Linked DNA regions of Arabidopsis thaliana. The protein of the gene in region 2 interacts with the protein of the main gene of each other region in a biochemical or structural test. Each region holds a gene or a part of one and is shown on either strand. Other genes may lie near its edges.

Evidence for each region.
Region 1: the proteins of DWA2 (region 2) and DWA1 form a complex in vitro, tested with the Arabidopsis thaliana proteins (one study listed by BioGRID).

Annotation. Positions count from the first base shown.
Region 1 is NC_003071.7:8,411,045-8,421,743, reverse strand, and holds DWA1 (DWD (DDB1-binding WD40 protein) hypersensitive to ABA 1), read right to left. Parts: upstream 6,699-10,699; 5' UTR 6,528-6,698; coding exon 6,202-6,527; intron 6,115-6,201; coding exon 6,038-6,114; intron 5,957-6,037; coding exon 5,911-5,956; intron 5,784-5,910; coding exon 5,723-5,783; intron 5,635-5,722; coding exon 5,581-5,634; intron 5,491-5,580; coding exon 5,410-5,490; intron 5,319-5,409; coding exon 5,279-5,318; intron 5,007-5,278; coding exon 4,906-5,006; intron 4,734-4,905; coding exon 4,623-4,733; intron 4,367-4,622; coding exon 4,250-4,366; intron 4,094-4,249; coding exon 4,004-4,093; 3' UTR 3,750-4,003; downstream 1-3,749. Other genes in the region: AT2G19440 (O-Glycosyl hydrolases family 17 protein), read left to right, coding at 1,938-2,260, 2,400-2,899, 2,967-3,580; AT2G19420 (uncharacterized protein), read right to left, coding at 7,861-8,165, 9,412-9,522, 10,025-10,043. UniProt on the Arabidopsis thaliana protein: Acts as a component of the THO subcomplex of the TREX complex which is thought to couple mRNA transcription, processing and nuclear export.
Region 2 is NC_003070.9:28,605,551-28,616,405, reverse strand, and holds DWA2 (DWD (DDB1-binding WD40 protein) hypersensitive to ABA 2), read right to left. Parts: upstream 6,214-10,855; 5' UTR 6,044-6,213; coding exon 5,999-6,043; intron 5,920-5,998; coding exon 5,836-5,919; intron 5,766-5,835; coding exon 5,633-5,765; intron 5,485-5,632; coding exon 5,373-5,484; intron 5,237-5,372; coding exon 5,137-5,236; intron 5,022-5,136; coding exon 4,894-5,021; intron 4,728-4,893; coding exon 4,658-4,727; intron 4,400-4,657; coding exon 4,311-4,399; intron 4,172-4,310; coding exon 4,126-4,171; intron 3,954-4,125; coding exon 3,883-3,953; intron 3,804-3,882; coding exon 3,730-3,803; intron 3,648-3,729; coding exon 3,589-3,647; intron 3,450-3,588; coding exon 3,408-3,449; 3' UTR 3,143-3,407; downstream 1-3,142. Other genes in the region: AT1G76270 (O-fucosyltransferase family protein), read left to right, coding at 1-72, 151-241, 372-448, 553-641, 723-906, 1,206-1,387, 1,737-1,839, 1,938-2,269 and 1 more; AT1G76250 (uncharacterized protein), read left to right, coding at 7,464-7,994, 9,072-9,845. UniProt on the Arabidopsis thaliana protein: Component of the CUL4-RBX1-DDB1-DWA1/DWA2 E3 ubiquitin-protein ligase complex that acts as a negative regulator in abscisic acid (ABA) signaling. May function as the substrate recognition module within this complex leading to ABI5 degradation.

The DNA.
Region 1 (10,699 bases), on a different chromosome or scaffold from region 2:
TAGTAAACAAACCATTTTAATTTTGGACACCTCATAAATCAAGTTTCATGCTCATTCGTAATCGAAATCATTTTGGTCCTTTTTATAGTATGGCTCTTGACCATTGTCCAATTTTTTTAAGCGATGTGGAACATTCTAAAATCGTAATTATTATCCACCCAAACCCGTCCTACCATATAACCCAGTCCCGTAAAATTAAACATAATTTTGTCATTTTCTTATAAATTTCAATATTATAAAATTTGAAACTTAAAAAAATACAATATCGACCCAAAATTCATCATTGAATTTTGATTGTTATATTTAAGATTTTTCCTGTAATATATCGTCTCGTATTAATATATTTTTTATATATTTATAATATTTAAATTTCTTGTAAAATTCAATTTATAATTTTAAAAACTTATACTTTAAAACTTTATAAGTTTTAAAATTATAAATATTTCAAGCATTTTTTAAAGATAAACTTTATAAAAAGATTTTAAAATTATAATATTTAACTTTTGATAAAGTTATAATATTTATAATTTCTTGAAATATTTTAAAGTTTCAATTCTTTAAAATAAAAAATCCGAGTAAAATCGGATAACTATTTTAATTTTGGACGCCTGATAAATCAAGCTTTCTGCTCATTCGTAATCAGAATCATTTTGGTCCTTTTATAATATGGGTCTGAACCATTGTCCAATTTTTCTAAGCGATGTGGGACATTGTACATATATTATTTCTTCATAGGTTGAATAATATATGTCCGTTTTAAAAAATTTAAATTACATCATATTCAGAAAAATATAATATTTTATTAACTATATATATTTTATATAAATTCAAAATAAATAAAGTATAAGATCAAATAAAAATGAAAGAAGATTTATATATTTATGTTTAAATTAGGTAGAAATATTTTAGGAAATTAGTTAAGGTAAATAAAAAATATGGTTAGTTTAGAGATATTGTTTATATTAAATTTGGTAAGTAAATCATTAATTTTCGTTTTTAATTATTAGGTTTTAGGTAACTTTTCCAAAAATTAATGTTATCCAAGATCAGAACAGAATTAAACATGTTATCCAGGATCCGAACAGAGTTAAACCGGGTAAAACCCACCCATTTGAATTAATTGTTGAATTATGGTTCAAATCTTCAACATTATCTTCAAAAATCCCCTCCAAAAATGTATATATAGATTAAGAAAGTTGTGCTTCATGAGTAAAAACATAGAATTTCATATCTTAATATTAAGATATATTTGTTAGAATTAGAGAATTTATAATAACTAAACTATTTGAATAATTTTTTTTTTGAATAGAATTTAAAAGCTTACAACCCAATAACAATGTATTTTACTAAAACTTTAAAAGAATCCATGAATTATTGACAATAAAATCTGAAAATTAGAAAAATTCATCTACCAATAACCACTCTAAAACATTTGTCAAACATAAAACACATTGGGTCATTATTTACTGACCATAAAAACAATACAATAAAATTCTAAAAGTGCAATGTTTACTTAAAACTTTTAATTTGGGCTTTTACCAAATACTTCCAAGTTCCAAGAACCAATCACAAAGCATATTATTCACCGTCAAGCTCAATCAGAGAAAGATCAAAGCTTAAAACTTTTTTTCCGGAAAAGTTAAAGAGAGAAAAAAGAATCAATCTTTTTGCTTGACGATTGTTACTCTCAGTGGAAAGGTCTAGTCCCCATTCTCATTTTTTTTTGTTAAAAATCGTATCTTTGGCTTTATTTTTGGTTATCTCGTAGATTTTGCGTGAAAAGCTTTGAACTTTATGATGTTTTGATTGACCTCCATTTAGGAAAATGTAAATATCTTCAATTTCTGGGGTTTAAGTGAGATTTTACGAGTGTTCAAGTTAAGGGTTTGAATTTGGGTGAAAACACCTGGTAAGCCATTTCATTGTTTCTCAGGACGATGAATCTGTTGGCCTTCGTCGTTGGATTTGGAATCATGGGTATTGTTATGGTAGATGGGCTAGGTGTCAACTGGGGAACAATGGCTACACATAAGCTTCCACCAAAGAAAGTGGTTCAAATGCTTAAGGACAATAACATTAACAAAGTTAAGCTTTTTGATGCGGATGAGACCACTATGAGTGCACTTTCTGGCTCTGGTCTTGAAGTTATGGTTGCTATTCCTAATGATCAGCTTAAGGTTATGGGAAGTTATGACCGAGCTAAAGATTGGGTTCATAAGAATGTCACTCGTTATAACTTCAATGGTGGTGTCAATATCACGTTAGTGAGTTTCTCCCTCTGCTTGTTATATATTGGTTCTAATGTGTTCGGTTGTGAAATCAATTCTCTGAAAATGTTAATCTGGTAAGAACATTGTCAAAATGTTTATATGTCTAATCTCTTGTGGATGTGTTTTCAGGTTTGTAGCTGTTGGAAATGAGCCATTCCTCAAATCATACAATGGATCATTTATAAACCTCACATTCCCTGCACTTCAAAACATCCAAAACGCTTTGAATGAAGCTGGACTAGGAAGCTCCGTCAAAGCGACAGTCCCTTTAAACGCGGATGTCTACGATTCACCATCAAGCAACCCTGTGCCATCTGCAGGAAGATTCCGTCCTGATATCATCGGTCAAATGACTCAGATTGTTGACTTTCTTGGCAATAACAGTGCACCCATCACCATTAACATCTACCCTTTCTTAAGCCTCTATGGGAATGATGATTTTCCACTCAATTACGCCTTCTTTGATGGTGCTAAACCAGTAGATGACAATGGTATTGCTTACACAAACGTTTTCGATGCCAATTTCGACACTTTGGTATCGGCTTTGAAAGCTGTTGGTCATGGAGATATGCCAATCATCGTTGGAGAAGTCGGTTGGCCAACAGAGGGTGACAAACACGCAAATAGTGGTAAGACATCTAACATTTTCCAGTTCTTTAGATGCAATGAAATGTTTTGAAAACGTATTTTTCGCAGGCAGTGCTTACAGATTCTACAACGGTCTTTTACCAAGGCTTGGGGAAAACAGAGGCACTCCACTGAGACCAACCTACATTGAGGTATACTTGTTTGGATTACTTGATGAGGATGCGAAAAGTATAGCACCGGGAGAGTTTGAACGCCACTGGGGAATATTCAAATTCGACGGGCAACCAAAGTTTCCTATAGATCTATCAGGTCAAGGACAGAACAAGTTGTTGATTGGTGCCGAGAACGTGACGTATCAACCTAAGAAGTGGTGTATGTTTAATACAGAAGCCAAAGATTTGACAAAACTCGCTGCTAACATAGATTACGCCTGCACTTTTTCGGATTGCACTGCGCTTGGTTACGGGTCTTCTTGCAATACTCTTGATGCAAATGGGAACGCTTCATATGCGTTTAACATGTATTTTCAAGTAAAGAACCAGGATGAGGATGCTTGTATCTTCCAAGGTTTGGCCACCATTACCACAAAGAATATATCTCAGGGACAATGCAATTTCCCTATTCAGATTGTTGCTTCCACAGCTTCTTCATTTTCTTCTTCTTTGGTTTTGTTGATCGCTGGAGTTTGGTTTCTCTTATCAGGAGTGATGTTTGAGGTTTAGATTAGTGATGTTTTTGAGGACTTATTTTTGTGGATATGGAAACTATATGTTTTGTCCATGTATTAAATTGCATAATATGGTAAAATTTTACTTGGAAGAGTGAGAATCATTTAGTTATGGATCCAAATATTTGATCAATGGTGGTCATAAGAAAACAGGACTCGCAAAAAATTGAAACTCTAACGGCAGTTAATGTACGTGATCAGACTAAACCGGTCCAATGTCATTTTAATGGTTCAAATTTGATAGCAACTACGGAACCACAAACCAATTACACTTAACCAAACAACTAATTGGTCTTTAGTCAGGAGCAAGATCCTAAGAAAAACAAAGAAAAGGTTTCTTAACCTCTGCAATAATCTGACTGACACATTTCGGTACCTCTTTAGGGTATCGAGCCAAATCAAGAAACTGTAAGGAGTTTTACAATGAACTGCTACGAAATGTGCAGAGATGGCTTCCAAATTGAGAGATGACATCAACAATACCTCCATAACCTCCCACAGCAACTACCTGCAAATACAAAAGAATTGGATCAACGGTTAAACATTGAGTTTCTAGTCCAGAAGGGGTAACATATTTGCAGAATATTAGCAGTAACATAGGAAATGGGAGAAAAGCAAACACATATATAGGAAATGGGGAGAAAAGAAGGGATTGGAAACATACTCCTGCTGGATGCAAGGAAATGGAAAATACTGAACAAGGAGCACAGTGAATTTGAGAAAGCAAAGCTCCATTTAAGTCGAAACGTCTTAGAAGTGGTTCTGCTCCTACAGTCAAAATCTGATAGTGCGATACTTGTTAAAGACAACATTTTTAAAAAGATGTTTAAACTTTAGCACAGGAATTAAAACTAGGTGTTGACCTCTGTTTCTAGTTTAGAAAAGTCAGTAATTTTTTTAATAAACTTCGTTGAAGAGGGATGATTCAAAGAGATACTACATAAACCTATTAAGCCTTGATAAACAAATAACACCCACGGCCTCCCAAGGCTTTAAATTACACTGCTTAAATTTCAATCTAATCTTGTTCTGCTTACTTGCTTTTCATCAAACATCACATCCTGTACATGTGCAGGGATGGGTATTGTTTGTACGCATTCTGAGGCGGGAAGATTCCATAAAGCTAAATTTTTGCCCTGTCCACAAACCTGAAAGAGGAGAAAATCATACCAATAACAGTAAATACATGTTCAGTATTTAAACTTCTAAGTGATTCTTCAGGAGAAAGGAACTATATTCTTAGGTTACTGGAGGCAACAATCCCTTCAAACAAATAGCAGGTTGCGAAAATGTTAGATTATCTAGTTGCTTAGTTCTTACCAACCAGCTTTCACTCCCATCAAGGGCCATAGAACTAACGCGAAGGCGGGACTTTTTATCCTGGGAACCAATTACTTTAACACATTTTCCCGTTTTGCAATCTGGTTGACAAAACAGAAAGAAGCCCTTGAGCGAACAAAGCTTAGTCTAGACAACTAAAGTAAACCACATGAACCAAAACATAACATAGTGGAAAGTTCTGTAATCACCAAAATGAATCATCATAGAGTTGTAAGAAGCAGCCAACAAAACTGAGGAGCATTGGATCTTAAGTACCAACATGAAGACTCAAATGATTTCAAAAGTTCTATAACCACGTATGACCTAATACTAGAAATTACAGCATAAAGAAATATGGTCGGGAGCATGTTACCCCAGATTCTCGCAGTCCCATCCTCTGAACCCGTCAATATCTGGAGAAAGAGACTACAATCAGACAAAAATCCAAATGTGGAACTCAGATTTGGATAGGTGCATTTCTAATATTTATGGTAACATCATTACCTGACTTGCAGAACTACGAGAAACTACAGTATGCAAATAGTCTGAATGACCTTTAAAGGTCATTTTAATCTTACCACTCTCCTGAAATTGTTGGATACACATAAATGATTTTAGAAAGTTAAGATATCTGGATTCACATAGGACATACATCTATCATGGTCAAATACATACCACGTCCCAACAATATGCGCAAGAATCACCAGCTGCTGTAAATACACTTCCTGACTATCAAAACGAAAGAAGTGAGAGAGGGTGAAACAGTTATCCTGTGAGACTGTCTAACCAAGCAATGAAATTTAAATACAATTCCAACCTGAGGATCAACAGACATGGCATTGATCTCAGGCATCGGTGAAAGCGCACCCCAAGGACCTCTATAAGAAAAAGAATGGTGATTATACACACAACTATTACGAACACTGACATTTGAACCCACAATTATAGCATTTTCAGTAACAGAGTTATCAAGTAGAATAAAAAATGAACAAAACTCATACTCACTTGTGTTGTGGATTAATCAGTTCAAGCAATGGCTTCAGATGATTCTCTGTAGATCATAAGAAAAACAACCACTAAGCTCCAAAAAGCATCATTCATATCAAAAACCACAAAAATGGCACACACACACCTTTCAAATGAAGAGACACATCTGATTCAGCAAATTCTCTCCATTTCCATCCCCTAACTCTACCATCATCACCACAACTACACATAACCAGATCAAAATTTCAAACTCTCAATTACAATTCATCAAAGACTCATCAATCAACAAAGAGAGATTTAAGTCTCTACCTAAGTAGCAAAGCATCTTCGTCTTCACCATAGAACTTAACATCATAAGCAGGACCTTCGTGTGCCCTAACCACTCTCTCAGGTTCAGCCACCATAACATCTTGACCTTTCGAGTAGCCAAAACTCGCCGATTGAGACACAAGCGAGTTCAGTGAATGGAAAGCTAAAGTTCCATCGCTGGAGGCTACAACAAATGCGTCTGGATTAGAGATTCTCGCCGGAGGAGCCCAGGCGGTTCTGAAGACGGTGCGTGTCTCTATCTCTCGCTCCTTCAAAATTGATTCTCTATACTCATCTTCATTCCAGTTTGTAGCGTCTCCGTACATGGTCCTCTGCTTCTTTGCAATTCCCGGTGATACTTGCGAAACGCCAGCGATATTACCACCAGTGGTTTAGTGCAATTGACGACTGAGAGAAAGCAATCCCTAAACCGGCCGATTTAGTAATTCTGTTAATTATATTTTACTAGCTTGTTTTTTTTTTGTCGATCAAATTACTAGCTTGCTTAAATAGACGAATTGAAGAAATAAATTTAATTTTGTATCGATAATATTTGAATTCTAAATAGTAATATATACATATTTTGTAATATTTAATTTAGTAATTTTATTTAAAAACAAAATTTTAATTTTATACATTTCATTTTAATAGAAAAATAGGTAAAAAAACTCTCACATTTTTTAAAAACATGAAAAAAAATCTTACCTTTTTAAAAATAGTAAATTAACACCTAGGATATCTTATTCAAACTAACATATCCTATGTTATTCAATTATGAATTTTTAAAAGTATCATGAAATCTAATGCTATTGAATTACTGATTTTAAAATCTCCTTAAAAATCTTCTGTTATTGAAAACATTTTAAAGATTGGATTTTAGTGACTTTAAGAGACTTAAGTGGATTTTCTTAGTTAAAAATATATAATTTTAAATCTCATGGTTTTAGGTGGAATTTGAGAGGATTTTACCATAAATCATAACAACCTCCTTAAATTCATCCAAATTCTTTAAAAAATCAAAATTATATAAAAACTCAAATAACTTAAAATATAAGATCGAATACACCTCCTTAGATTCTAGTGTTATTCAATTTTTGATGATTTTAATGCAAGTGTTATTCATTTTTCTGTCAAAACCAACATTTCATTCAAATCACCAAACCGAAAGTATCAAAGGATAAACCTCCAATGTAATTGAAAAACTCAATTAATTTTGAATGCAGTATGAGTAGAGAATTTCACTTCCTCCGCGGAGATCTGTCTATTCGTTTTAGAGATTCCATAGAATTCAAGATTCAGATGCTCTATTTCGTGTTTAATGTTAATAGCACAATATGATGAAGACAAATCAATTCAAAATTTTTTGTTCCACTTCTTTTGGTCTTCCGTCTCTTCAAATTTTGACCCATATATCTCCTCATCTATATCTACCAAGAAAAAATCATAAAGAAGACTCTGTGCGTTTTTGTTACAATTAAAATCTCCACCTTTCTTTTTGGCACTTCCAGCTTTCATAAATCTCACATCTAGGGCTACATAAATCTCATTCGCAAATACTGATTCGGAAAAAAAATTGAATTCATCCAAAACAAATGAAGCCGTCCTAGACCATCTGTAAGCATCAACTTCTTAGTACTATTCACTAGAGCATATTTGTCCTCACCCAAACATAAGTTTGCCAACTTCTCGGAGATAAAAACTGACATGCATCGTTTGCAACTCATCTCGAAAAGAATCTGGTAGATTAATCAACATGAGAGATTTTTTCGGTAGTGGTATTATGTAACCGCCATCATCAAAACCCAAGCTGGTAAGTACGTCTTCATCAGAAAATTCAGGGTCCATTAATTGTTCCTTTGTTGGTTTAGGTTTCTTATTCTTTGCTGGTGCGATCTTTGGACGATAAACATTTATTCTAATACGTTTTTTACCTCGACTTTTCTTCGTCATACCAGTATTCCAAACTGTGAAGTACATAATGGCTGTTAAAAGCTAGAAAAATTGCAGTATAGGTAATGACTAATGGACCATGTAGTTTATGGTCGGCTGATTGATGAATACACATGTAAATTTTGGTATGATTGAATAAACGTTGACGTTTCTAGAAACGTATTTAGGGGGACCGCTTATGTAGTGCTTGCGTGAGACACAAACACATATGAACAAGGGAATGTGGAAGGAGAATCAAATCAAATCAAATGCCAAAACAATATTAAAAACGTATTTCGAAGATGTTCATAATTCGTTGTCCTTGCATCTTTTGTCTTTATTTAATTAACTCCAAAACCTTTAGTAATATTCGCTTTTACTTCCATTTTAATATCAATTCCTCTAGCTTACGTTTCGGTTTTACATTCGCCCTTACAAAGATTACTTTTTATTCCTTTGGTTTTTGATTGGAGGATCAATGAATGTTCTAGCTAGAGATCTTAAGTTTGGGAATCTTTCACATAGATCTAGACCTATGTTATGTATACTTAATTGTTCAAGTGGTCGTTTACGCATGCAATGACCAAACAAATAGTTTATTTCGTTTTAAGTGGGATCTCTCACTCTCAAAATTTTGTTAAGAGTCCAATTTTATTGGTTTGTACGTATATTATAGACATGTGTTATGTATATATAATTGAAAAGAGAGAATCTTGTTGCTCAAATTGACAGGAAATAAGAGTTTAATCCGGCGGAATCTTTCTATAAATTAAACGTAGCTAGTGGTCAGTGGATGATGATGATGAAATCTATGCATGCATCATCATATATAGACCCTAGCAATCCTTATATATAGACCCTAAAATCAGACAAACTGTTTCATATCATATCATCATATCATATAGTAATTTTAGGGACCGAGGCTAATATAACATCAAAATCATATGCATGCAAGAAGATGAAGCAAGTCAACTAAAGGAGGTAAGGGAATAGCAATAACGAAGGCGACAGAAGAGAGTGAGCACACATGGCTCTTTTTCTAGCATGCTCATGCTCGAAAGCTCTGCGTGCTTACTCTCTTCTTGTCTCCTGCTCTCTCCCTCTCTACGTCTATTTATCTATCTATCTATGGACTATGTGTATATAAATTAAATATATTTTATATCCACATATATATATATATATGCATCATGCATGCATGGCAGCAAACGTCTCTGTGTATGGTTAGATAGATATGACCATATCTTGTCTATCCACCTTTTGTTTTCACTAATGTTTTACCTAACGACACACAAATATCATTTTCAATCTTTACAGTAAAATAGCGTAAGTCGCCATATCCGTTGTAAATTGCCAAATAGCCGTTGTAAAGCTCAGAGTCGTACGTTTTTTCTATCAAATTACAAACACTAATCACATCAATATATATAACATAATAAAGGCTACAAAATGATCTAATTTTTGTACAAATGATGAGCTTTGAGTTACAAAGAGGAGCAAGGCACTTTAACAAAGAAAAAAATTAAGGAGCAAGACATAAGGAAGGTTTATCATCATGAGAATGAGAAGATTTCACGCATGATCGCAAAGGAACAAAGCGTGCGTATCAAGTTGCGGATAAGGGTTTGATGCCGGTCATCGGATGACCTTTAGTATTTTAAAGAGCTACATAGAAGAATTGAGAAATAGTTACTGATTTTTCGTCCTAGCAAATCTTGTTGTGGACAGAAATATATTCTTAAGTAAAAAAGTACTTTTCTTTCTCCCTTTATCTATGTTTTATCTATTTTTGTTCTTTTACCATTTCCATTATATTTATGTATCTATATTTTTTTTGTCCCCCACATTTATGCATATATCTAAAATCTACCAATAACAGTACTGTTTGAATTACTTGGTACCTTTTCATGCATGATCCATCGTCTAAGTAGCAAAAATAACAATGAACAACTGTTATCAATTAAAGCTGTTTTCTTTTTATGAACAAAAAAAATAAAAATCTAGCTCTATTATATATTTGGCTAGAAATAGAAATATATGTATGAATTGATCAATAAATCTTTAAGAAATCAATAATGACTAATATATTAGATGATTCATGAACTACTTGTCCAGAATCAGAAACTAAGTGATGGTGGTTATTTCTTTTCTTTTTTCCCTTTTTTCGTGTGTGGTATATGTGTTTTTCGTTTGATGTTATGATATTTTATGTAGTGTGTACATAATTTTGGACCTAGAATTCACATGACGTCTACATGATGCTCTAAACTTTCTATATGTAGGCTTCGCTCCAATTAAATATAAATTGTATACTAATAAACACCCAAAAACAGCTTGGGCTAAAATAAAAAAATATGATATCGTTTTCTTGACATCAAATTAAAAGTTTTGTTTGATTTGTTTCCGTTTACATTTGCATATTTAATGTTTTAAGAAATACAAAAAAATTCCGAAAGTATTATGTATATATAGCTTAGATCTACATATATGGAACAATTAACCAAAGATGGACCTCTAGCCAATATTGATCGTCTTCTATCATTTACACGTAGTGAGAGTATATATGTAT
Region 2 (10,855 bases):
TCCGATCGCCTTCCTCCACGCGTTCGCTACTCATCCAATGATGCGATCAAAGCTACAGGTTTCCATATTCCGGTTAGTGGGTTTTATCATTCTTCGCTAAAGTTTGAAACTTTTCCGACCTATTTGATGATTTAGTTGGATCCATAACAGAGAGCTGGAGGCAGATCAGATCGTGATATCTGGCGTTCACGAAATGCTGAATTCTTTTTTGGATGCAGCAATGCAAGCAGCAAATTCGCAAGTGCGTAACACTCTTAATCATATTCCATTAGTTAGTAACACTGATCTTACGAAAAGTATGAAACTTTCGATTAGTATGGAATCAAGGCACTGATTATCAAGTCATACAAAATCCGATTACTTGTTTGCAGATTCGAAAGCAGTGACGAGAAATGATCGATACTTGGTAATAGCCACTAGTGGTGGTTTGAACCAACAACGAACTGGAGTGAGTTTTGTTTGACTTCTCTTGTTAATACCTATCTTCATGGATTATCAAAATACAAGCATTTGTTTACTATTAATCAGCTGATGGGTCTAATCCTTCTACAGATTGTAGATGCAGTTGTTGCGGCAAGGATTCTAAATGCTACTCTTGTTGTTCCCAAGTTAGACCAGAAGTCTTACTGGAAGGATGCCAGGTCTGAGACAGATTAAGCATACTTAGCTTTTTCTTATGAGAAACGTTATGCATCTTTGTAACTTTGTGAATTTTTGTGCAGTGACTTCTCGCATATTTTCGATGTTGATTGGTTTATCTCATTTCTGTCTGGAGACGTCAGAATTATAAAGCAACTTCCACTGAAAGGAGGGCGTACATGGAGTACAAGTAGAATGCGTGTACCACGGAAATGTAACGAGAGATGCTATATTAACCGTGTTTTACCTGTTCTTCTCAAAAGGCATGTAAGTTTCCTTCTTTCGCTGAAACTTTTTACTTATTGCATTTAAAATATGTCTAAGCAAATTGTTTGTTGTCTGTATTGACTATTTGCTTAGGGTGGTCCAAATAATTGTCTTCACAAGTCTAACCATTTAATTGTTTTCACAAGTCTTTGGTACTATTCTTTTTTTTGGCATGCCCATTTCGTTGATTGCTACAATATTGATGTTTGCTTCGAAACATGAACTTGAAGCAGTGGTTGTCTTTTGGATTAAGCATCTCGATTTATTCTTATATCACTTTTGTCTGTATTATGCTTCAGGCAGTTCAACTGAACAAATTTGACTATAGACTTTCAAACAAGTTGAGTGATGACTTGCAAAAGCTAAGATGTAGAGTAAATTACCATGCTCTAAAGTTCACTGATCCTATACTTACAATGGGTAATGAATTGGTCCGGCGCATGAGATTGAGGAGCAAACACTTCATTGCTTTACATTTAAGGTAGCACCACCGCTCATCTCTAAATCCTAGTATTTCTTTTATTTTTTTCACTTCGTCACTGAACAAGGGCATTATTCTGGGGAGAATTAACATGTAGCACAGCTGAACCATCCTGTAGTGAATGCTCTTAGCTTTTTCTTTTTGGTAAACCTCAGTACTCATATCTAATAGAGGAGATTGCATCGTGAAACGAGTGGAATCAAATACATAAATATGTTTATCCTGGAGTTCCTCTAGTGACTCCATCACATTTTTGATATTCTAGTCAACAATTATGATATTTTACATTTACCTCTTGAATCTCTATAAATACTAGTGTTTGACGCAAGTGATATTGATTGTGTTGCAGGTATGAACCTGATATGCTTGCATTCTCGGGATGCTATTATGGTGGTGGTGATAAGGAAAGGAGAGAACTTGCAGCAATTAGAAGGAGATGGAAAACATTACATGTAATGCCTATTCTGTATAATGTTTCAGAAATTACATGCGATTCATTGTACTCTATATTAACAAGGTACCGATGACTAATTTTGCAATTTTATTGCAGATTAACAACCCAGAGAAACAGAGGCGACAAGGAAGATGTCCACTCACTCCAGAAGAAGTCGGACTGATGCTTAGAGCTTTGGGATATGGCAGTGATGTTCATATATATGTCGCGTCTGGTGAAGTATATGGAGGAGAAGAATCATTGGCTCCTTTGAAAGCACTCTTTCCACACTTCTATTCAAAAGACACTATAGCTACAAAGGAAGAGTTAGAACCTTTTTCTTCGTACTCTTCTAGAATGGCTGCACTCGACTTCCTTGTTTGTGATGAAAGCGACGTATTTGTAACCAACAACAATGGCAATATGGCAAAAATATTGGCTGGGAGGAGGTACTGAAACATCTTCTTCTTCTTCTTCTATGTTTTTTTGGCTCATCTCTTTGTTTAAGCATTTTTCAGTTTGTTTCTTTGATGGAATTGCAAAGGTTTAAGCTTTTGGTTATATGAAATTTGCAGGAGATACTTAGGACATAAACCCACTGTTAGGCCGAATGCAAAAAAGCTTTACAGATTATTCATGAACAAAGAGAACACGACATGGGAGGAGTTTTCATCTAAAGTCCGTTCGTTTCAGAGAGGGTTCATGGGAGAGCCAAAGGAAGTAAGAGCTGGTAGAGGTGAATTTCACGAAAACCCATCCACGTGCATATGCGAAGATACAGAGGCTAAGGCAAAGGCGCAATTAGAATCTAGAAAACTTGGAAAGAAAAACAAATCCACTAATAAAGACGCAGCAGTAACTGTAACCAATGATGATCAAACCGAAGAGGATGACCCAGATTGGTCGGAGCCAGACTATGAGGAAGAACAGAGTGATCTTCAGGACAGAGGATTATACAACGGGACAAGTTTAGATTACGATGATCCATCTACCTCTGATGAGCCTGAGCTTGAAGCAATGCTATCAGATTAGTTAGATACGCATCAGTGACCTTCACATCACTACACTGAATCTGTCCTCTGCTTGGGCACTTCACAGTGAGTTTTCCAACCTTGGTGCTAAGCCTTGTTGTCACCATTTTGCATGTAATGTCTCCTGTACATAGAACCACGCGATAGAGCATTGTTTTGTTTATCAGGATCTGAGGACAGATCAATTTTTTTCAGTCATATTTTAGTACTCGGAATTGTGGCTTTACCAGAGAAAGTAGCTATAGAAAAAGGGAAAACAAGTAGGCATGTGTAGCATTATGACACCGGTGATTACTTGATCCGAATATTTTCTTTACAATAAACTGAATTATAGCAGCAGGTTCATTGACTTTGTACCAAAGTATTTTCACGAGGTTTGGTTTTACATCTTTGTGCCTTGTGCTGAGAGATAGAGATGAACAAAGACACGAGTAAAAGTTGAAGAACTGTAGAAGAATAGTTTTGATGTTGTGATTATTATAAAAACATTCAAAATTTGTCTTAAATGATAGCATATGAATGCAGCTTTTTCTTTGAAGCCTTCTTCCATCGGGACCTATCTTCTTGGCAGGAAAGGCTTGACGGATTCGATCACAACCTAACATAAGCAAACACCAAAATTATGAGATGAACTCTCCAAACTGCTTTCAGAATTTAGAATTGTTTGGGGTAATAAATCGTCTATTTCTTAGTTCTCCATAGTTCTTTAGGTTGTTGTCAAAAGCAAAGTCACTTACCCTACCGTCATATGACAATGATGCAAAAATCCAAGGCTCACGCGAGCTCCAAGCAAGGCCTGTGACAGCAATTATATAGTGACTTCATGCAGTTTTAGTGGGAAATTGTGGTAACTAAACTCAGTTTGTTCCAAGAGTTACCGTAGACACTGTCTTCGTAGTCAGTATAAGAGTTTAGTAACGGGTTCACACGCTGACGTGATGCTTCCACCGGGCTGCACAGCATCGGCATTAGAATAAAAGTTCAAAACAAAGTTGGAAAAATTGTTGTGTGCGATAATAAAGAGAATTAACCTTTCTGATGTTTTATGCTCACTAGATGCTGAAGCAAACCACAAGTTGACAGCTGAGTCTGTTCCAACGCTCTGTGTTTGGTTAATTTATCAGAAACTGACACTTTAAATATACATTGTGAGTGACAGAAATTGTTCTAGAATCATCGACTAGCAGCTTAAAGCTGTCAGTAGTGACAAGCACAATAACAATTTAGATTCGTTCGACTGTGCTAAGAGAAAAAAGGTAAGAGAAAATGGGTACCAGAATTAGCTCTTCATACTCAGGGTTACACCTGACAGCCCATGTCCTGTAAAGAAAATTCAGAAAGAACAGTCACGCTAGAAACAAAATTTCAGGTCGAAAGCATTAGATTTGTGTGCATATGAAGCAGAATCATGGAAGAGAAAAAATAATAATCCACAAAAATGAGTTTAGAGGTAAATTACCAGTGTGTATGACCAGGGAGCTCTTGCACAGGAAACTTTGTCTTCCGAAGATCCCAGAGATGTATACCAGATTCATCATCCGCAGAAACCTACACAATCGACAGTCCAATGCATAAATAGAACCATCTGATACCATTTCTGTAAATAGGGGACCTACTACCTTTCAGATAAAAAGTTCTTGCTATGAAGAAAAAATTAAATCAGAAATGACACAATTACTTCCTTGTTCCTACCCATTTGCAATCTATATAACAGATTGTTTTCTAACTTTGGAGCACTGTGTAATTCTTTGTTGGAATTGCTTGACAAGCATTTAAAATATTTGCATACAGAGAGAGAAATCTTACGAGTATATGTTCTCTCTTGAGATTGTAGTCAACATTACGTACATGGGCACGTTCAATTGAATTATTCTTCCTGTAAATATGCAAACATATCAAGCTCAACATAAAGGTATCTGATTTTGGAACCCAAAAATTAATAATGACAAACTATTGACTAGAGGAAACACGCTAGCTGTGCATGCAGGAATACAGTATATTAACTTTCATGCGAACATAAGAGAGGAACAAATATGACATACTTCATAGTACGTAAGTCCCAAAACTGGATAGATGATTCAGAAGTTGCTGCAACAGAATTCACATCATGTGGATTCCATGCTCCACCAGATAAAGAATGACGCATACCAGCTGACTCCTTAGATAAAACCTATAATTAGCAAAAAAGATGATTAAGCGGAAAGTACCTCAAAGGTGGTCTAAAAACACAGGAGGCAAAAATGATTTAATGGGTTTATCCTTTCTCTTGTTGTAGCAACAATCACCTCCGCACTTTTCTTTGAAGAGTCTAAACTCCAGAAGACAAGATTTTGTTCATCCATGCTGATTAACTTGTCAGAATTTCCAGAGGGACACCAAAGAACGCTGTTTCCACAAGAGGTATAGAGAGTCTTCATGAAAGTGAAGATAAGAAAGTTACAAGTTCTAAGACTTTTTAAACCACCGCACTTATAAGCACACCCAGTAGATAGACTGCTGAAACTGTAAACAATGAACTCACCAATTAATCTTACCAACATGTGCATCAAGGGAAGCAACACATTCCAATGTTGAAGAATTCGATTGACCATATGGCTCAGGAATCTGCCATATTGCTGCTCCATATGAGTCGCCTTGAAATTGAAAACAACAACACTGTAATTCTCCTCTGACAACACTGTAGTTTCAATTTCTGAAACTTTATGCATTCAATCGGAAAAGTCCGATTTTTTTTACTTCAAATCAACTCAAAATTAGAAGTTTCGAGATGATGAGAATTACCAGTGGAGAAGACAGTAGAGAAAATGCGTTGATCAAAAGGGGAAGAAGCAAGGTCCCAAATTTCATTAGGATGCGAGAACAATCCCTCACATAACAGCTCAGATCCACCAGAAGACAAACGAAGCAAATGAACCTTAAAATTTAACAAAGTCAGAATCTTCCGATCCAGAAATAGAACGAAACAGATCTTAAGAATCAATCACCTCATTTTCTTCTTTCAAGCTTAGGGTTCCAGTGAGGAAGCTAGTGTGATCTCTATCTGCTTTAACATCCGATATACATCTGGCCTGAAAACAGCAAATTTTCCACCATTAAGAAAGCTCGTAAATTGACAAAGGATCGGGCATGAAGAAGATCGTGAACTACCTGATACTTCAAACCATAACCAATACCCGATGATCCTCCTTGCATTATGCTCTTACGCCTGAGCTAACGTTACGGATTCAGGAAGAAGAAGATCTCTCTTCAACGATTTGCCGCTCTCTGATTTTGCTGGGTTTCGTGAAGATGATACTAATGGGCCAATATTCATTTAAATAAGCCCACTTTTACAAACTGAATCATAAACTGTTTTATTTTTGCTTCTATGGTTGACATTTGACAGTTGACACTCATGGCCCAACAATAGTTTTGCAAATTTTAGATGCAAATTAAATAAATAATTTAAATAAACATGTAAATAAATGAAAATTGAATAGATTCATATATAATAAACAGGTAAATAAAAGATCTATCACTATTGTAGTACTCCATATGTCCCATTTTATTAGATGTTTTGGCTAAAATCACATGTTTTATCATTAATAAAAATTTAACCAATAAAAAATACTGCATAATTTAAATAATCATAAACTATGGAATTAATATAAATTATGACTAGAAACTAGAGAAAAACTAATTGGGAACAACAACAAAAAAGCTTTAAAAATCTTATATACTAGGGAAAGTATTATCTTGTTACCAAAAACAGTAAAAAGTCATGGGAAAGCAAAGAAAGAAATATTATATATTAATTTCTAAGGTAATAAAAATATATGTTTAGAGCACTAATAACAAATTTGGAACCTCATTTCTTCTTTACAATTGAAGAGCAAATTCTATATATAATTATATATTGATATATGTGAACATTCTAATTAATACAATGCTCTCAAATGAATATACTACATAAAGTCATATCTTGGATAACAAAAAATACTTTTCTTTTCCTTTTGTTGAATACAAAAAGTAAAACTTTTCTTGCAACCCAAACTATCCATTTCTTTACTAGTCCACGTACGCCTTTCAAGATATCAATCTCTTCAATATACTTGTCAACATCCCCTAATACACAATGAGTGGGGGTCTAACAGTTACAATAAACGTGAAGACTGTAACGAGCATATTTAGTGAAGAGTTTATTCGAATTGATTACTGTAACGATCGAGCACTAAAACTATTCACCAAAGTATTTCAAACATTCATAAATTATTTACTAAGCAAACAAAGAAACGTGAAAAAAACAAAAGTAACATTGATCATTTCCTTTTTGAAAACGTAATCAAATACGTATATTTTAATTAATTATGCATCGGTTTTATACAGAGCTACATAGATATTTCATATCTCTCTCTAGAAGAAAAGAGAAAACGAAAACCAAACCCACGCGTAATGTTGATTTCACCTTCCACTCCAACAAACCAGCGCCTCTCCGAATCACTTCAAAAGTTTTGAAGAAAATCAAAACTCTATAAATACAAAAATCTCTCTCTCGGCAAATGAAACGTGTGTGAACAATCCACGGTGGTGGTTATTCTCACAGATTAGGGTTACGATCACTTACGCCGCCGTTATGTACGTTTCCAGGAGAATCTCCGACGTCGATCGTCGTCTTCTCCTCCTTCTCATAATCCCATCTCTCACCCTCCTCGTCTTAATCTCTTTCTCATCTCTCTCACTTGATCCTTTTCCAACTCTAGCCCCTCTTCGTAACCTAATCTACACTCATACCCTAACCGTCACCGATTTCACCGTCGAATTGTCAGATTCGAACCCTAACGACGTTATCCAAGCGGAGGAGATGGAAAATCGACGGCGGAGGAAGAGGGAGGAGTTGGTTAAGTCGAAGATTGCGGTGTGTTTGGTAGGAGGAGCGAGGCGGTTTGAGTTAACCGGACCGTCGATTATGGAGAAGATCTTGAGGGTTTATCCTAATGCTGATTTGTTTCTTAATAGTCCTCTCGACAAAAATTCTTTCAAACTTCGGTTACTTAAGGACGCACCAAGACTTGCTTGGGTTCGTATCTTTGAGCCTAAGCCAATCAATGAGACTGAGCCGATGGTTCGAGTCCTCACACCTATGAATTCGCCCAATGGCATTAAGGTAATTTATCGACTCTTTTGAACTTCCTTACCTTATAAATTCTTTTCACTAACTTTCAATTAATTAAATGTTGGAGTATTACATTAAATTTTTAAGTGCATAAAATTCGGGAATATATAATTAAGGATAAGAAAGTGATCAGGAGCGGGGACCTCCGTTTAGTTGGAGAGGTTTAGGGTTGGTGTAACCGTTTCTTGATCCGTACGTTACTCATGTGAAGGGATTTTTTGTTTGATGATGGGTTTGGTATTTGATGTTGTCACAATCCCATCCAATATGATATTCTTTTTTATTTCCTCGTTACTTTATAACAAAATTGCGGTCAAAAATGACGCTTCTAAAGGTATTAACGGATGTCTCTAAGATATGGGTGTGATAGCAATTAATTGTTGACTATATTTGTTAATACTATGAGTTATTGCCTCTTTCTCGATTCGGGTTCTATAGTTAATAGTATGAGACTGTTAGGTTGAGATTGAAGTTATGATTATCTTTGAAATTTCTATTGTTTAGCAACTCGCAAGATTTTGTAGCCGACTAGTCCGAGACTGAAATTGACCCCTTACCTTATCCGGACCCACGTTTCCTGATAAAGAAGATCTTGATTAATCTGACAGCTTGTAAATTCACATAGTATATTGTTTGTATGGAAAAAGGTATTCTGTTTTTTCTTGTATTTTTTTAATTTATGGTAATAATTTTACGAAATGGCTAATGCGTGGCATGATGATGCTAATGTGTGGCGTGGTGATGATGTGAATCCGTAAGCTTTTTCGTGTATTTTTTATCAAGTAAATGGTTAATGCGCAGTATGGCATTAAGTATTATAAATATATATATACATTGGTATAAACTTTTGTTGAGTATCAATTTACGTTTATTGAGTTGATATTATTCATAACATTTTAGAACATTTTGACATTTCATGTTTGAAAAAGTGATTTTAACATGATAATATAAGTAGTCTAGTAAAACTAGCATTTTAACATCGAGTAATTTGTTTCTGTTATATTATTATTATTATTTTGTTAATCCATTATTTTCTCATGTGTGTTTTCTTATTGGTCTCAATGACAGGGCTTATTACAGTACTTCAACCTTGTGGAAGGTTGCATCACGATGATAAAGGCATACCAAAACGAGAATAACTTCACATACGACTGGATAGTCCGGACCCGAGTTGATGGTTACTGGGCTGACCCGCTCGACCCGGAATACTTCATACCGGGTCAATACCTAGTTCCACCTGGATCCTCTTATGGTGGTCTCAACGACCGTTTCGGCGTCGGAGATCTCAACACCTCGACGGTAGCTCTCTCTCGCCTCTCCCTCATTCCCGACCTCGATTCAGCCGGGTTAACTCATCTGAACTCCGAGTCCGCTTTCAAGGCTCAGCTCACAACCCAACGTGTTCCTTACGTCACCAAACCTCTCCCTTTCTGCATCATGACTGATCGGACCTACGATTTCCCTCCATATAGATACGGAGTTCCAGTGGCGGCACTATCGAGCCGTGGACCGTTAAACGGTGCCAAGTGCCGTCCTTGCACGGTCGCATGCAACGGCTCTTGCGTGGCAGAAGTGATGGGAAAGCTGAATAAAGAGTGGAGCTGGACAGAGTGGGAAAACGAGACGGTGGAGCTGTGCGACGCACATGGAGAATGGGAGAAAGGTTGGGAGAAGATTTTTGACGAAACCGCTGGAGAAAAACTCGCACTTGCGAGGAAACGAGTCGGTGGTTTGGATTCGAGGAGATGTGTGGAAGAGTTTGAAAATATGAGAGGAATGGCCGTTAAATGGGAAGCTCCCGCCTCCGAACAGATTTGTACTTTGGGCTTACGGCCCAATTAGAACATATCGGGCTTTAGGTCCAATTTAATTCGCTAACAAATTTTCCCAATCTGTTTTAGTTTTTTGCCTTTTAGTTTGGTTTGAAATATATATATCAGGTTACATTTGATCAAATGCAAACTAGATATATATAATTGCACATTGAGATTTGAGCTGAGCCAAGATCTTCCTTTTCTGAGAAAAAAAAAAAAAAACCAAAATATAGATTTACCACGTGAAAGAAGCAAATCTGTTCCTAATTTTGAATCTGTTACAGGATTCGATTTTTTCCACTAGTGCAGATTTTATACATCTTTTACGCATCCTTACATGCACCCACAAAGTGATACACTCTTAAGGAACAAACGATTTTAAGTTTTACTACTGGAAACTTTTCCTATGGATTTGGAAGACATTGATATGTGTATACATTGATATGTATACATAACTAAGTTATCTAACATTTGGCAGATGAATTGGAATCTCGTCACATCACGCGAGGAAAGATGCGGATATATATTATACATGGCTGGCTGTCTTTTATTTTCGACAAATGTTTTGTTTCGAATTATCTAATCTCATACCACTTCAGTGTTATATTTCAATATAGATTTTTCACAAAACTTTCAGTTTTCAGTTGAGTAATGACATAGAATTATAGTTTGTGTGAAAGAACAAAAAAAAACTTAAACGACAATAAACATTATCCCTTTAATGAAAACAAAGTATATCTAAAATATCAAAATTAAATTCAGTCATCATCAATACATGTAGAGAAACATGCTAAACCATGATGAATACACAACGAACAGAACTTCAAAATGAAAACGATGGCTCGTCTTTAGTGTTTTATAGCAAATTTAAACTGTCGGGCAAGCTCTCAACATCCAGTTAGTCAAGTATATTAATGGTATCATCTCCAAATAATGACATGTCATTATTATTCATGACCATCAAACTCAAACTCACCACAAAAATTTATAATCAAAATAATTGGAAACATCATGTGGATCTAAAACACTTGAATCGAG